Linked DNA regions of Stegostoma tigrinum. The protein of the gene in region 1 interacts with the protein of each later gene in a biochemical or structural test. Links are inferred from orthologs where the notes say so. Each region holds a gene or a part of one and is shown in the gene's direction. Other genes may lie near its edges.

Region 1 (8,934 bases):
TATTATTTTATGCGATCTGTGTCACTGAAAAGGCCTACCTAATTGTCCTTGGACTGAGGTGCATGCTGAGCCATTTCAGAGATAGTGCATATGAATGATGTGGAGATGCCGCTGTTGAACTGGGATGGACAAAAGTTTCTGCCATCCTTCATCAGTTTTCACCTGACGAAGGAGCAGTGCTATGAAAGCTTGTGATTTCAAATCAGCCTGATGAACTATAACTGGGTGTCATGTGACTCCTGACAGTGGGAATGAAGACACGTCGGCCAGACTGGATAATGAAAGCAATTTTCATTACCATTAATGAATAAGATGGGCTTTTGCTGCAATCATTTCATGGTAAACATTAGAGGAACTACCTTGCCAATTCAGAATCATGACCATAAAGAACCAAGAACAAGAGTAGGTCATTCAACCCTTCAGGCCTGCTGTTGTCATTAAACAAGATCATGGCTGATCCAACACTCCTCACATCTGCATTCCTGCCCCTTTCCCTGTAAGCCTTGATTCCCCTACTGATCGACAATCTATCTATTTCGGCCTTAAATGTACACAAGCATTCTACTGCCACAGTCCACTGTGGCAAGGAGTTCCAAAAACTGTCAACCTCATCTCAGTCTTCAATTGGCACACTTAATTCTAAGTTTATGCCCTCCAGTCCTAGACTCTCCTATGAGGAGAAACATCCTGTCAACATTTATCTGGTCAAGCCCCTCAAGAATCTTTAATGCTTCAATGAATTGAATTTAAATTCCACCATCGTCATGGGAGTAATCTGGGTCAGCAGTTCTAAAGACACTGAAGAAGCTCAATAGGACAAAGCAGCCACCTGACTGGCACCAGACCCCTAAACCTTCACTCCATCCATCAGATCACACTGTGTATTGTCTACAAGATGCACTGCAAAAATTCACCAAAGATCCTCAGGCAGCACCTTCCAAACCCACAACCATTTCCATCTAGAAGGTCAAGGGCAGCGGGTACATGGGAACACCACATCCTGCACATTTCCTGACAAGCCACTCACCGTCCTGAATTGCAAATATATCATCGTTCTTTCACTGTCACTGGATTGAAATCCTGGAACTCCCTCCCTAATGGCATTGTGGATCTAGCTAATGCTCATGGTCTTCAGCGGTTCAGAAGGCAGCTTCAGCATCGATTTCTCAAAGACACCTACGGAAGGACAATAATTGCTGGTGCAGCCAGTGATGCTCACCTCGCACAGAGAATAAAAACAGTCACTGAATGATTTCTCCCACTCTCTCTACGGATGCTGCCAGACCTGCTGAGTTCCTCCAGCAATTTCTCGTTTTTGTGCCTTTCGTTAATAACCCACTGATATTACCGCTGAGACACTGCCTTACCCTACAGAGCACGTGCGTCCTTCAGGCGTCTCTTCCCGCGCTCCCTCCGCGCGCATGTGCCAAGTTAATGGTCACGTGGTGCCAACTCCGCGCTTCCCACAAGGCGGGAGAGGCAGGGGGGAGACCGCGACGTCTTGGCCGCTGCTCGATGTTTCAGGACCCGCAAACGGTCGCCGCCGCCACCACCACCACCGTCCTTGCCCGCCCTCCGCGATATGCCTTCGGCTTGCTGGAGACACCCCGCAGCGCCGGGGGAGACCGAAGCGCTAGCTCTTCTACGGGGAGGCCGGCTTCAGGCTCGGCCTCGGAGCCGTCTCGCGGTCACCAAGCTCCCAGCGGTTTCACACCGAGCGGTGGCTCGTGCGGCAACGGTGGCCTGAGCCGAGGTGAGTGCGGCGGGGCCTTTAGAGGAAATGTTTTCACCAAGTGAGTGGTGGTACTCTGGAACTCGTTGCCTGTGAAGAAAGTAGAGGCAGAAACACATAATATTTTAGGAGTATTTAGGTGCACACTTGTGATGTCAAACCATGTAAAGCTGTGGACCAAGTGCTGGATAATGGGATTAGAATAACTATGTGCTTGTTTTAGACTGGTGTAGATTAGATTAGATTCCCTACAGTGTGGAAACAGGCCCTTCGGCCCAACAAGTCCACACTGCCCCTTGATATATCCCACCCAGACCCATCCCCCATAACCCACAAACCCCTGAACACTACGGGCAATTTCCCATGGCCGATCCACCCACCCTGCACATCTGTGGGAGGAAACCCAGGCAGACACGGGGAGAATGTGCAAACTCCACACAGACAGTCACCCGAGGCTGGAATTGAACCTGGGTCCCTGGCGCTGTGAGGCTGCAGTGCTAGCCACCGTGTCGTATGACTTAGAGTCATACAGCATGGAAACAGACCGTTTGGTCCGACTGGTCTGTGCCGACCAGTAATCTGACCTAGCCCCATTTGCTAGTTTTTAGCCCATGTCCCTCTGAACCCTTTCTATTCATGTACCCATCCATATGCCTTTTGAAATGTTGTAATTGTACCAGCTTCCAGCATCTCCTCTGGCAGATTGTTCCAACCACATACCACCTGTTGCATGAAAGAGTTACCCCTTGGGTTCTTTTTGAGTCTTTCCCCTCTCCCCTTAAATCTGTGCTTTCTAGTTTTAGACTCACCTAACATGTCAAAAAGGCCTTGATTTATCTGCTGAAGGACTTCTCTTGTACCATAGACATGTATGGCTACAAAGGGGAGATGATGGCCTAGTGACATTATTGCTGGACTGTAAACCCAGAGACCCAGATAATGTTCTGGGGACCCAGGTCCGAATCCCACGATGGCAGATGGTGGAATTTGAATCCAGTAAAACATCTGGAATTGAGAATTTAATGATGACTGTGAATCCATTGTCGATTGTCGGAAAAACCCATCTGATTCACCAATGTCCCTCAGGGCAGGAAACTGCCATCCTTACCTGGTCTGGCCTACACGTGACTCCAGACCCACAGCAAAGTGGTTGACTCATAACTTAGCTGTGGGGAATAAGTGCTGCCGAGTCAGCAACACCCTCATCCCATCAATGAATAAAGAAAAAAATTACTTAAAGTTAGTGGATGTTTTATTCATTACAATCCATCTTTATGTTTGTTTTGACAGAATCATATTTTGGTGATAAAAGTTCGAACATAGGGAACCAAAACCTGTTTCCATCCGTCTCGGCACAGAGCAGTTCTTCACTGAAGGGTTATGATGATACCAGAATAGGGAAGACACCTGCGTCCACTACCAGCAGCAGTCGCAATGCAAGACCCCCTTGCAAACTTCGTACTCCCCAGACTGGCCACTCAGGTTCATTGATAATTATTTTTATATCTCATCAAAGAAAAATTTAAATATATTCTTGCTCAGTAGTTCAATGCAACTTTTTAATTAGAATTGTTATCAAAACAAAAACATGGAGTGGCTGATAGACCCTTTTAATAGAAGGTCGTTTGACGAATTCCATTGAATTTACAACTCAGAAGTAGCCCATTCAGCTGTCATTGACAATATTCATGCTTCTCATTGTTCCATCCCATCCTACGTTATTTCAACTCTATCAGCACTGCTATTACCATCTCCATCTCTTCCACTTCAAACTCCCAGCATTTCTTTATCTCTGGGAAAATGAGATAGAGTCCTTGCAGGATGGGGTCTGTGTAGTGAAGATAGCTGTGGGAATCAATGGCTTTGTACTGGAGGGCAGTGAGTAGTTTATTCCCTGAAATGGAGTCAGGCAGATCATGAAAAGGAAGGGAAGTCTTGGAAATGGGCGATCTAAAAGTTATAGAGGAGTGGAAATTGGAGGCAAAATGAATGAAGTTTTCAAGGTCTTGCTGGGAGCACAAAGTGGCACCAAAGCAGTTGGTGTATCGAGAAAAGAGTTGTGGGACAGGATTGTTCCACATACCCCATAAAGAAGGATGCATAACTGTGCCCCATGCAGGTGCCCATAGCCACTCCTTTGACTTGGCAAAAGTGAGATGAATTAAAGGAGAAATAATTCAGTGAGAGAACAAGTCCACCCAGGTGGAGGAGAGTGCATGTGAATGGGGATTGTTCAGGCCTCTGGTTGACGAAGAAGCCGAGAGCTCTCAGACTTTTCTGGTGAGGAATGAAGTTATAGAGGGATTGGGCATCCTTGGTAATCGGGAGGAGGTTAGGGCCAGGGGACTGGAAATTGTCAATATGGTGGAGAGCATCAGAGGAATCATGAATGTAGGTGGGCAGGGCACAAGTGGAGAGAGGATAGTCTCAAAGTAGGAGGAAATGATCTCAATGAGGTGGGCTGATACTTTGGGCCTACTGGCTCTGTATGGCTTGTGGACTTTGGGAACGAGTTGGGAGACGACTAGGTGGGAGGTGGGGGTTTGGAGGGAAGATCTCCAGAGGTAATGAGACCGGTGACAGTCCTGGCAACAATGGCTTGACGTTCAGATCTGTCTCCATTTGAGGGGATAAACTGTCCACTGCCATCCATTGCAAAGCCACTCATTCCGGACGCTACCTTCTCTACAGCTTGTTGCACCCTACATGCTGCAAGGACTCCATCCTATTCTCCCAGTTCCTTTGCCTACGTCGCATCTTATCGAATGATGCCATCTTCCAAAGCATTGCTGCTGACATGGCTTGCTTCATCGATGACTGTGGTTTCCCACACACTGATTGATAGGGCCCTCAAACCCGTCCAACATATCACCCATGCTTACTTCCTTATCCTTTCTCATCACTCAATAGAGTAATCGGGTTCCCCTTGTCCTCACTTTTCGACCCAGCAGCTTCTGTATTCAAAGGATTATTCTCTGTCATTGAAGACAACTCCTGCTGAACACCACCAGCAAACACATCTTCCCCTCGCTCCTCCATCTACCTTTTGCAGGGATCGTTCCATCTGCGACACCCCACCCCATTTCCACAACCACCAACACCATTCCCCCCTCTTTGCAGTGTTTTCCATGTAACTGCAGAAAGTGCAACACTACCTTTCATTTCTTTCCTGCACACCATCCAAGGGCCTAAACAGTCTTTCCAGGTGAAGCAGCATTTCACCTGTACCTCCTCCAATCTTGTGTATTGTCATCACTGCACCCTATGTGGCCTACTCTACACTGGAGAAACCAAACACAGACCGAGCGACAACTTTGCAGAACATCTCCGGTCTGTGCACATGCAGGACCCTGACTTTCCCATAGCCAGTCACTTTAACACAGCGTCCTGCTCGCACGGCCATGTCTGTTCTCGACATACTGCGGTGTTCCTGTGATTCACAGCGCAAACTGGAGCAACAACAACTCATCTTCAGAATAGGCATTTTACAGCCTTTTGGACTTCAGTTCAATATGGAGAATATTGAGTTCAACACCTTTAATTGGTGAGCCATTTCTTCCCTTTTAGCTTTTTATCATGTCTTCCACTCCCAACATCCCAGTTACTGCCCTTTCAAATCTGGCTGGAGACACCATAGTTCTGCCATTTTCAGATTCCAATCACTTAATTTGAACAATTCACGTTTTTTTCTCCACCAGCACCCTATATGCACTACCCCCGTGCCTCCCCGCAAACTATAGTGTAAATGCTGAACCCTCCACACTTTACTTCAGCTCTGAATAAGAGTCATCTGGACTTGAAACGTTAGTTGCTGTCTCTCTGTGGATGCTGTCTGACTTGCTGTAATCTCCTGCATTTGTTGTTGTCAGTACAGATTCTAGCATCTGCAGTATTTTGCTCCTGCTCTCAGCAATCAGAGGACCCAATTTAATGGTGATTGAGTAGAATTTGTTTATAAGCCAAATTGTTGTGATCTGGAATGTGCTGCCTGAAAACATGATGGAAACAGATTCAATAATAATTTTAGGCAGAGAATTGAATAAGTGGGGAAAGAGCAGAGGAATAGGATTAACTGAGTAGTATTTTTCAGAGAATCAGCTTGGGATGGAATTGCCTTTTTCTGCACAGTGTTTCTATGGTTTATATTAGCAAACTGTCTTAATGTCTTGAACTTTGATTTGATTCCAGACCACATTATAATTGAGGAAAAACTAAGCCACAGAGACTATTTTGAAACCACATCATAGTGAACCTGGTCACTAACTATGCATCATAATATTTTATATGGAACAAATGCAGAAAAATAGTATATCTTTCAGATAGTTATACTCTCAAAATATTGAGATGGCTCCATTTCCTCTACACAATTTTTAATTAAATTTGTGCGCAAACAGTAATTTCAGGCACGCGCGTGAACCCATGAATCAAAAACAGCATCCAATGTCTCAAAGTTACTCAAAATATTAACTTTTTTTTCTCTCTTGCAGCTGGTTACCATAAAATTATCATTGAGTTTTATTAAAGCCCATCTGGTTTACTGACGTCGTTTTGGGGAAGGAAATCTTCTATCCTTACCCAGTCTTGTGACTTCAGAACCACAGAAATTTCTCTCTTAACTGGTCTTTGAAATGGCCCAGCAAGCAGCATCCTTATCCCATGATAGATGAAGAAGAGCACCAATCGGGAGGTACAACATTTAGAAATTCTCCAGTGAATAACTCATTTCCCATCTTTTCAATGCCTGTCCATCATTTACACAACACGAATCAGGAGTGTTGGAATAACCAAAACAGAATCCCCCTTGTCCTCAAGTACCACCCCACTAACCTCCAAATCCACCGCATCATCTTCTGACATTTCTGCCATCTGCGACCTGACCTCACTACCAAAGACATTTTTCCCTCCCCACCCTTATGTGCTTTCCAGACGGGCCACTTCCTCCGTGACTCCCTTGTCCACTCCACACTCCTCTCCAGCCCCACCACCCCTGACACTTTTCCCTGCAACCGAAGCAAGTGCCACGCCTGCCCCTGTACCTTCTCCCCCAGCGCCGCCGCCCCCCCCCCACCCACACACACACACACACACACCTGCATCCGAAGAAGACTTTTTTCACATCAAATAGATGTTCACCTGTACATATGTTAATGTGATACGCGGTATCCGCTGTTCCCATTGTGGCCGCCCCTACATCGGGGAAACCAAATGGAGGCTTGGGGACCACTTTGCGGAACACCTACGCTCAGTTCTCAACAAACAACTACACCTCCCAGTCGTGAACCATTTCATCTCCACCCACCCTCACCATTCCTCGGATGACATGTCCATCTGGGCCTCCTGCATTCCCACAATGACGCCACCGGAAAAATGCAGGAACAGCATCTCACATTTCGCTTGGGAACCCCGCAGCCCAAGGGTATCAATGTGGACTTCACAAGCTTCAAAATCTCTCCTTCCCCCAACCACATGCCAAAACCAGCCATTTAGTCCCCGCCTCCCTAACCATTCCCCCCACCTCAAGCCCCACCCTCATCTCCTACCCACTAACCTTATCCTGCCCCTTTGAGCTGTCTGCCCTCCCTAACTTCCCACCTACATTCACCTTCACTGTCTCTAACCCTGCCTCTTTGACCTATCCGTCTCCTCTAACCCTATCTTCTCCTTTTATCCATCTTCTATCTGCCTCCCCTTACCTCCCTATTTATTTCAGAATCCCCTTCCCCCTCCCCCATTTCTGAAGAAGGGTCCCAACCTGAAACATCAAACTTTTCTGCTCTTCTGATGCTGCTTGGCCTGCTGTGTTCATCCACCTTCACACAGTGTTAACTCAGTGTTGGTATCAAGATACAGGACAAAGTAACCCATTATTGGAAATTTAGTAACTTCGGTTTTTATTCCCCTCATCACTATTACACAGGCTGCAACTCACCAAGAGCGCTCCAGCAGCATCTTTCAAATCTGTGACCTCTACCCTTGAAGGACACGAGCAGGAGACTCACGGAAACACGTTCAGCTACAAGTTCCTTTGCTAATCACACCTCATCCGACTTGAAACTATAATGCCTTTCTACACTGTTGCTAAATCAAAATTCTGAAACTCCTGAACCAAACTGCAGCGATTCAAGCAGGCAGGTCATCACCATCTTCTGGACAACTAGGGATATGCAATAAATGCTGGCCAAGTTAGCACTGCCCACATCACATTGATGAATTAAAAATAATTCAATCTTGCATTCTTTTAAGTGTTTTACATGTTATTGTATGGGTATCCTAGCTTGCCAGGTAAATGGTACAGCTTTTCACAGCTGGATTTGTTATTTTTAATAAAGTGTGTGAATACAATGGTTCAAGATGGCAGCTCACCACCATATTCTCAAGGGCAACTAGGGTCAGGCAATAATTGCAAGCCGGCCTGTGTCTCCCACATCCTGCAAATTAATTAAACAATACTGCTGTAAAGTGCCTAAGTGAGAAATGAGTTGTTATTCATCAAGCTTGCTTTCCACTTTGATGGACCACTGCAGAAGGTTCAGGATAGAATTGCTAGTGAAAGAATCAGGGTGGTTTATTGAAATGGCAAGCAATTGCAAAGTTGAAGTCATTCCTATAGACTAAACGTAAGTGTTCTGGAAAATAACAGGAGCATGAAAATTAGAGCTCTGCTCATCAACTACAGCTCCGCCTTCAGCACTCTTATCCTCTCCAGACTGATCTCAAAACTCTAAGACCTAGGTCTCAGCTCGGCCATCTGCAACTGGATCTTTAGCTTTCTGACCCATAGTCCCCAATTGGTCAATCTGTGAAGATAGACTAACAGCACTTGCTCCATGATTTCCCTCAACACTGGAGCGCCCCTGTAAGGATGTGTGTTAGCCCCTTACTGTACTCCCAGTACACCTGCGACTGTATATCCAAATTCTGAAGGAACAGCATCTGCAGGTTTGCTAATGACATGACCATGGTAGGACAGAAGTGAAACAACAATGAGTCAGAATACAGGAAGGAGATTGACGGTTTGGTGGCCAGGTGCAATGACGACAATGCCTCTCAATGACGGCAAAACAAAAGAACTGATAATTGATTTCATCAGTGGAACTGAGGTTCGAGAGGGTTGCCAGTGTCAAGTTCCTAGGAGTGATGATAACTGACGGTCTCCTTCACACATAGATGCGGCGAACAAGAAGGCACAACAGTACCTCCCC
Region 2 (8,817 bases), on another chromosome or scaffold:
TAAAACTTTGGTTAGACCGCACTTGGAATACTGCGTCCAGTTCTGGGCGCCCTATTATAGGAAAGATGTGGATCCTTTGGAGAGGGTTCAGAGGAGGTTTACCAGGACGCTGCCTGGACTGGAGGGCTTATTTTATGAAGAGAGGTTGACTGAGCTCGGACTCTTTTCATTGGAGAAAAGGAGGAGGAGAGGGGACCTAATTGAGGTATACAAGATAATGAGAGGCATAGATAGAGTTGATAGCCAGAGACTATTTCCCAGGGCAGAAAAGGCTAACACGAGGGGTCATAGTTTTAAGCTGGTTGGAGGAAAGTATAGAGGGGATGTCAGAGGCGGGTTCTTTAAACAGAGAGTTGTGAGAGCATGGAATGCGTTGCCAGCAGCAGTTGTGGAAGCAAGGTCATTGGGGTCATTTAAGAGACTGCTGGACATGCATATGGTCACAGAAATTTGAAGGTGCATACATGAGGATCAATGGTCGGCACAACATCGTGGGCTGAAGGGCCTGTTCTGTGCTGTTCTGTTCTATGTTCTATGTAACAGTGATAATGGGAACTGCAGAAGCTGGAGAATCCAAGATAATAAAATGTGAGGCTGGATGAACACAGCAGGCCCAGCAGCATCCTAGGAGCACAAAAGCTGACGTTTCGGGCCTAAAAGCTGATGTTTCGGGCCTAGACCCTTCATCAGAGAGGGGGATGGGGTGAGGGTTCTGTAATAAATAGGGAGAGAGGGGCAGGCGGACCGAAGATGGAGAGAAAAGAAGATAGGTGGAGAGGAGAGTATAGGTGGGGAGGTAGGGAGTGGATAGGTCAGTCCAGGGAAGGCAGACAGGTCAAGGAGGTGGGATGAGGTTAGTAGGTAGGAGATGGAGGTGCGGCTTGGGGTGGGATGAAGGGATCGGTGAGAGGAAAAACAGGTTAGGGAGGCAGAGACAGGTTGGACTGGTTTTGGGACGCGGTGGGGGAAGGGGAGATTTTGAAGCTGGTGAAGTCCACATTGATACCATTGGGCTGCAGGGTTCCCAAGCAGCATATGAGTTGCTGTTCCTGCAACCTTCGGGTGGCACCATTGTGGCACTGCAGGAGGCCCATGAGGGACATGTCATCTAAAGAATGGGAGGGGGAGTTGAAATAGTTTGCGACTGGGAGGTGCAGTTGTTCGTTGCGAACTGACCGGAGGTGTTCTGTAAAGCGGTCCCCAAGCCTCCGCTTGGTTTCCCCAATGTAGAGGAAGCCACACCGGGTACAATGGATACAGTATACCACATTGGCAGATGTGCAGGTGAACCTCTGCTTAATATGGAAAGTCATCTTGGGGCCTGGGATGGGGTGAGGGAGGAGGTGTGGGGGCAAGTGTAGCATTTCCTGTGGTTGCAGGGGAAGGTGACGGGTGTGGTGGGGTTGGAGGGCAGTGTGGAGCGAACAAGGGAGTCACGGAGAGAGTGGTCTCTCCGGAAAGCAGACAGGGGTGGGGATGGAAAAATGTCTTGGGTGGTGGGGTCGGAGTGTAGATGGCAGAAGTGTCGGAGGATGATGCGTTGTATCCGGAGGTTGGTGGGGTGGTGTGTGAGAATGAGGGGGATCCTCTTTGTGCGGTTGTGGCGGGGGCGGGGTGTGAGGGATGTGTTGCGGGAAATGCGGGAGACGCTGTCAAGGATGTTCTCGACCACTGTGGGGGGAAAGTTGCAGTCCTTGAAGAACTTGGACATCTGGGATGTGCGGGAGTGGAATGCCTCATCGTGGGAGCAGATGCGGCGGAGGCGGAGGAATTGGGAATAGGGGATGGAATTTTTGCAGGACGGTGGGTGGGAGGAGGTGTATTCTAGGTAGCTGTGGGAGTCCGTGGGCTTGAAATGGACATCAGTTACAAGCTGGTTGCCTGAGATGGAGACTGAGGGAAGCGTAACAAATGCTTCTTCACTATCCTGTCTACTTGGGGCTCCACTTTCAAGGAACTATGAACCTGCACTCCAAGGTCTCTTTGTTCAGCAACACTCCCCAGGCAGTTGTGGTGATCTTTCAGGAATTACTGAACTCAGGAAGAGTCTCCAAAAACTGGAAAATACCTAATGTAACACCACAGTTTAAAAAACAAGGGAGACAGAAGACAAGAAACTATAGGCTGCTTAACTTGATCTCGGTCATCGGCAAGATTTTACAGTATTAGAATGACTTTCCATTCTGAGGAATGTAACTACGAAGGGAGGAAAGGCACCGATGGCCAGTCATTTCAGCCTGAAAATAGACCCAGGTACCAAAGTAAATGCTAAGTGTGTTGCTTCATGAGGTCATAACACCTGATGTTTTGCAAAAGGAAGGAGGAGTGAAATTTAATACAGGAAAATACTCAGACAACTACTGGGGGCAGAAAGTTTTGTGTTTGGAATGAGCTGCCAGAGGAAGTGGAGGAGGCTAGTACAATTTACAACATTTAAAAAGCATCTGGATGGCTATGTGAATAGGAAGAGTCTATAGAAATATGGGCCTGAATGCTGGAAATGGGGCTCGATTTATTTTAGGGTAGTTGGCATGCACGAGTTGGACCAAAGCGTTTGTTTGCATGCTGTACAGCTCTATGTATCTATGACTGCGGAGTACTTGGAAATCCATGGTAAAATAGGGCTGAGTCAGCAAGGTTTCATCATTGGCAGGTCATGCCTGAGAAATCTGTCAGATTTCTCAAAGTGCTAACAAGCAAGTTAGACAAAGGAGAGACAGTGGACGTGACATATTTAGATTTCCAGAAGGCCTTTGACAAGGTGCCATATAGGAGACTGCTAAATAAGATGAGATGTTTGGGGCAAGCTACTCGTATGGTTAAAGGATTGGCTGACAGGTAGAAGGCAGATAGTAGGGATAAAGGTGTCTTTTTCAGAATGGTAGCTGATGACTAGAGGAGTTCTTTAGGGATCAGTATTGGGAGCTTAGTTATTCACACTTCACATTAATGATCTGGTTGAAGAAACAGAGGACGTTTTTGCTAAGTTTGCAGATGACACAAAGCTAAGTGGGGGGACATTTAGTGATAAGAAAGCAGTGAGACTGTGGGAAAGTGTGAAGTTATGCACTTTGGAAGAAAGTATTGTGGCATAGATGATTTTCTAAACCAGGAAAGGCTTTGGAAATCTGGAACACAAAGGGTCATGGGAGTCCTCATTCAGGATTTTCTCTAGGTTAACATGCAGATTTCAGTTGGCAGTTAGGAAGGCAAATATAATGTTTGCATTTGTTTCAAGAAGATTGGAATATAACAGCAGAGACGTACTGATGAAGCTGCATGAGACTCTGATCAGGCCACATTTGGAATATTGTGGGCAGTTTTAGGCCCTGCATCTAAGGAAGGATGTGTTGGTTTTGGAGGGGGTCCAGAGGATATTTACAAGAATGATCCTACGGATGAAGGGCTTGTCATATGAGGAGTCCTTGCCTGTACAGGTATTTCTGCTATACCATGAATTGGCTGTAACGTGATTGATGAATAGTGCACATTGCTTGGATAACGCAAACTTTCTACTGTGTAGTATAGCAAATTTCCTATAACACAATTTTCTATGGCAATTTTCTTTAGCACAAGGTTGCACAAGAACACAACTATCATGTTACAGGAGAAATGCTTGTACTTGGAATTTAGAAGGCTGAGGAGCGATCTTATTGAAAATTAGAAAACAAGATAGAGAGGACATGGAAAAGATATTTCTGCCTGTAGGAAAGACGAGGGCCTGAGGGCACAGCCTGAGTGAAGGTACAACCCTTTAGAACTGAGATAAGGAGGCATTTCTTCAGCCAGAGGGTAGATCATCTGTGGAATTCATTGCCGCAAAGGATTGTGGAGGCTAGGTGTTTCAGTGCATTTAAGCCGGTGATAGATAGGTTCTAGATTGGTGAGGGGATTACGGATAATAGGGACAAAGGGGTTGAGAAACATATTCAGCACAATCAATTGGCACAGCATATTGTAAAGCTGAAGAGGGTTCAGAAGAGATTTACCAAGATGTTGCTGGGTATGGTAGATTTGAGTTATAAGAAAAGCTGGATTGGCTGGGATGTTTTCTACTGGAGCATAGGAGTTTGAGACGTGGCCTGATAGAAGTTTATAAAATAATGACAGGTATAGATAGAGTTGATAGTAGTTGTCTTCTCCCTAAGATAGGGAATTTCAAGACCGGAGCACATCTTTAAGGTGAGACGGATTTTAAAAAGACATAAGAGGCAAATATTTTACACGGAGGGTTGTTCAAGTGTGGATGTAGGTACAATTACAACATTTAAAATCCATCCAAATGGCTTTATTAATAGGAAATGTTTGGAGGGGTATGGGCCAGGAGCAGACAGGTGGGACTGGTTTAGTTTGGTATAATGATCAGCATTGACTGGTTAGACCAAAGAGTCTGTTTCTGTTCATGACTCTGTGTTGAATGGCCTAACTTTGCTCCTATATCTATGTTCCTAATTGCCACCGATCAGCCCATCTGACAAGTCAATGTCCTTCCGACATAAGGCTATAATATCATCGTTCTCACTACTTACTAACCCACCAGTTTCTATATCATCCATAAACTTTGCAATCAACCACCTTATATTCAAGTCTAAATCATTTATATTATCCACAAACAAGGGCCAAACACTGGTCCCTGCAGAACTCCACTAGGCACAGGTTTCCAATCACAAAAACACTTCTCAACCATGAGCATCGATTCTAGTTCTGATGAAGTGTCACTGAATCCAAACTGTTGATTGATTTTCTCTGTACAGATGCTGCAAGACCTGCTGAATATCTTCAGCAATTTATTATTTTTTGTCTTAGCCATCATGCTGCCACTCAGGAAATTCCAGATCCAATTAGCCAAATATCCTGGATCCTATGAGCTCTCACCTTTACTATCAGCCTCCCGTGTCAAAAGCTTCGCTGAAATCCAACCTATCTGGTCATCTCTGAAAAGAATTCAGTCCAGTTGGTGAGATCTTGTACACACTGGTTTAAAGGAAAACTATTCTGGGTGTATTTTAATAATTCTGCTCCCTCTGAACTTTCACACCTTTCCAGTTAATGTTGGGGAAGCTGACCATCATTACCTTTAGGGTTAATGGGGAAAGGGGCAGGGAAATGTTGATGAGGAGGAACGTTGGGTCAGTAAGATGCTGCTTGAGCCTGCTGTGTTCATCCAACTCCACACCTTGTTACCTCGGATTCTTCAGTTCCTATTATCTCTGATGGGTCAGTAAGGATTAGTCTCGATGGGGTGTTCCTATTTATAATGGCCTTATTAGATTTTGAATTCTGTCAGATGTGCCTCTGTTTGTGTCAGACGCATCATGGAGGATACAGGCATTTCACTGTCCTAGTGCTTCCTACTGCATTCGCCAACACGCATGCGCGGAGCTCGCCGGCGCACATCTCCCAGGAGGCCGCGAGCACGGAGCATGCGCAATCGCGCCCTGTCTCCATGGTAACACGGCCTAGTGGCGATGGGTCGAGCCTACGGCGGGAATGGCAGACCGAGCGGTGGCCGAGGAGCGTGGCCGGCTTCGGCTGTTGGCGGCCGACACTCAGGCCGCTCTGCGCTCCGGGGTGGCGGTGCCCTCTCTCGCCCGGTGCCTCGAGGAGCTGCTCCTCAACAGCCTGGAGGCCGGCTGCGGCTGCGCGGCCGCTCGTGTGAACGCGCAGGCTGGGCGCGTGCAGGTGGCCGATAACGGGGCGGGCCTGGAGCGCGCGGCCCTGGAGCTGGCGGGCACGCGCTACTGCAGTGGGAGTGGGAGTGGGGGTGATCCTAGGTATACGTGTGTTCCCAGGGCAGGTGGTGGCCCAGGGGGTGGTGGTGGTCAAGGGAGGGGTGGTAGTGACCCAGGATGGGGTGGTGGCCCAGGGAGCGATGGTGGTGACGGCCCAGGCGGTGGTGGTGGTCCTGGGAACCGGGGTTGGAAATGTCCCAAGGGAGAAGACGATGGTGATCCCAGCTACCTTGACCTGCCAGGGCCTGGCGCCCGCGGTGAGGCCCTGGCCAGCATTGCTCACCTGTCAGGACTGCTGGAGATAGTGAGCAGGCCGCAGGGCTCCAGTGGGACCTGGGTGAAACTATTCCGCAATGGGCATGCCCGGCCGGTTTGTGAGGCTGAGACGGGGAGGCCGAGTCCCGGAACCACTGTCACCGTCTGCAACCTTTTCTACCAGTTGCCAGTGAGGCAGCGCCGCCTTGGTCGGCCCCTGGAGTGGGAGCAGATCCGCCGCCGAGTGCAGGCTCTGAGCTTTCTCTACCCTGGGGTCTCGTTCACTGTACGTGATGAAGCCTCGTCTGCGGCTGGAGGCTCGTTGGTGGTGAGGCTTCCCAAAGTCAGTAACCTTCAGGCCCGCTTTGCTCAGATCCATGGCTCTCAGCAGGCAGCAACGCTATGCTGTATCCAGCACTCATCCAATGGTTTCCAGCTGAGTGGCTTCATCAGCCGTCAGGGCCACCACAGCAAAGCCCAGCGACTGGTCTTTGTCAACCGGCGACTGGTGCTTAAAACCCGTATCCACAAGGAGCTGGACTCACTGTTGAGGCGACACAGCTTAATCTGTCAGCCTGAACCTGGCACTGGGCCCCGGGGAGGCTCTGATCTTCACCCTGTCTATATCATCAACATCAACTGCAACCGTAGCCAGTATGATGCCTGCTGGGAGACAAACAAGACCTTGCTAGAGTTCACTGACTGGAATCTTTTGCTGAGTTTGCTGGAGGAGGGGGTCCAGGCCTTCTTGCGACAGGAACAGTTACTGGTTGACCCCACAGAGGAGCAGATTCCTGTCCCGCTCCCTGTTGCTGGCTTGGACTTCAGGTTCTCACATGAAAGAGTAGCAGTGCTGTCCAAATCAGTCCATCGTCTGGTAGTGGTTCGAAACATTCCAAGGTTGGCAGCACATTCCGAACCCTGTGATGCTGTCTGTCAGGGGCAAGTCTGTGACGACATCAAACATCCAGCCTTGCATGGTCAACAGAGTGGCCTGTCCTGCATTAAATCCCCAAGGCACAGCCTTCGTTCTGCATATCAAGAAACAGCCACAAGTGACAAGTCTCCATTGGAAAAGGAGGGAAGCATTTTGCTCAGAGACCTGAGTACATCAGCCAGCTCTCGGACACAATCAACACAGCAAGCACAGCCTGGCACAGCTCTTTGCCTCCTCACAACTGCCAATGAGAATAGGACCTTGTCTGTCACTGAAAGCCCCGTACAAGAGGAGAAGCAAGCAAAGGTGGGGATCGGAAAGCAGGCAGGGGTACCACAGAGGGAGCGGGGGAGGGAGTCACTGGGGGAGCAGGCAGGGGAATCACAGGGGGAACAGCTGAGGGAGTCACTGGGGGAGCAGGCAGGGGAATCACAGGGGGAACAGCTGAGGGAGTCACTGGGGGAGCTGGCAGGGGAATCACAGGGGGAACAGCTGAGGGAGTCACTGGGGGAGCAGTCAGGAGAATCACAGGGGGAACAGCTGAGGGAGTTGCAGGGGGAGCAGGCAGGGGAATCACAGGGGGAAGAGGTGAGGGAGTTGCAGGGGAAGCAAGCAGGAGATGTGGGGCAGGTGGGGGAATCCCGAAGAGAGCAGGCAGAAGAGGGGGAGCAAATGAGAGAAAGGGAGCAGATGGGGGATCCATGTGAGAAGCAGGCTGGAGAATCACAGGGGAATCAGTGGGTGGAGGAGCTGTGTGGGGAGCAGGAAGTTGAGGTGGAATGGCAGAAGGACGGGGTGCTGCGGGGAGTAAAGATGGTGGAATTGAGTACGACTGGTCTCATAACCCACATTGTCCCCAGAAAAACAATAGAAGTAGGCACTGTAAGTGTTAGCTCTTCAGACTGGAGTCATGTCCATCGTCCGGGTCCAGTGAGTGCTTGGGAGATTCTGAATGAAAGGAAGAGAAAGGGAGATGGACAGCTCCTGCCTGATGACCGAGTGCTCTCAAACATATGTCAGAAAAGTGGGAGAGATATTCCCCGAGGTTCTGTGACTGACTGTCAGAAAATTCAGGATACTCATCAGCCTCACCATACATCTGAGACCTTTGCAGAATCAATGATAATCTCTCAGAAGATGAATTTACCACAATATCTCACCAGTTTGGAGAACAGAACTCCTGTCAACTGTGAGCCCATGTGTTGTCAGGCGAGATTCCACAGAAAGCTGGGCATGTCTCTAATAACTGGATCTCTGGATGTATTTCGGAGAAACTATGGGAAAATCAATGATGACCAGGATGGTGGAGGCTCTTCTCAAGGCAGTGCACCTATTCAGGACAGTACTGGTGAAGCAACCAAAAGGCCATCACTGTTTAATGTGACTGAAACCCCAGGAACAGAGAGGCTACACCAAAACACCAGTATCGGATTTACTGGTTCTGTAATTAGTGACCAGAGTGAGAGTTTGCAGCTTAATCAGTGTGATTGCCATAGTCTTTTAAGGAATTTGCATTCAGTTGGAACTTTCCCAGTTACTGGTCGTGTGGCCAGGGCACATGCCACTCCGTTTACAATGCCTGGTTATTCACAAGCCAAACAAACCTCTCCAGTTAGCAAGGAGCCTCGAAGAACCCTTGCTGCAAAATTGTCCAAGTTAAAGGACCTTAATAAAGGACATGCTGCTGATGAGAAAAGGGAAGAATCCAAAGCAGGAAGTTCCCTCAGCTCTCGCCAACCTTGTGAGAGTTTCAATGACCTTCTTCAGCCAGAACAGCAGTGTGCAAAACCTCCAACTCTACAGCAAGCACACTCAGCTGTTCCGGTGAACTCTGAAAATTGTCCCCTTCGAGAAAGGGGAATGAGTGAGGCAGACTGGCAGGAAGACAGCATC

The links.
Region 2: the proteins of msh4 (region 1) and mlh3 form a complex in vitro, tested with the Homo sapiens proteins (2 studies listed by BioGRID). The link is inferred for Stegostoma tigrinum from reciprocal best matches to the Homo sapiens genes MSH4 and MLH3.

What each region holds. Positions count from the first base shown.
Region 1 is NC_081361.1:100,898,139-100,907,072, reverse strand, and holds the start of msh4 (mutS protein homolog 4), read left to right. Parts: upstream 1-5,133; coding exon 5,134-5,276; intron 5,277-8,934. UniProt on the Homo sapiens protein: Involved in meiotic recombination. Required for reciprocal recombination and proper segregation of homologous chromosomes at meiosis.
Region 2 is NC_081363.1:861,061-869,877, reverse strand, and holds the start of mlh3 (DNA mismatch repair protein Mlh3), read left to right. Parts: upstream 1-5,458; 5' UTR 5,459-5,490; coding exon 5,491-8,817. UniProt on the Homo sapiens protein: Probably involved in the repair of mismatches in DNA.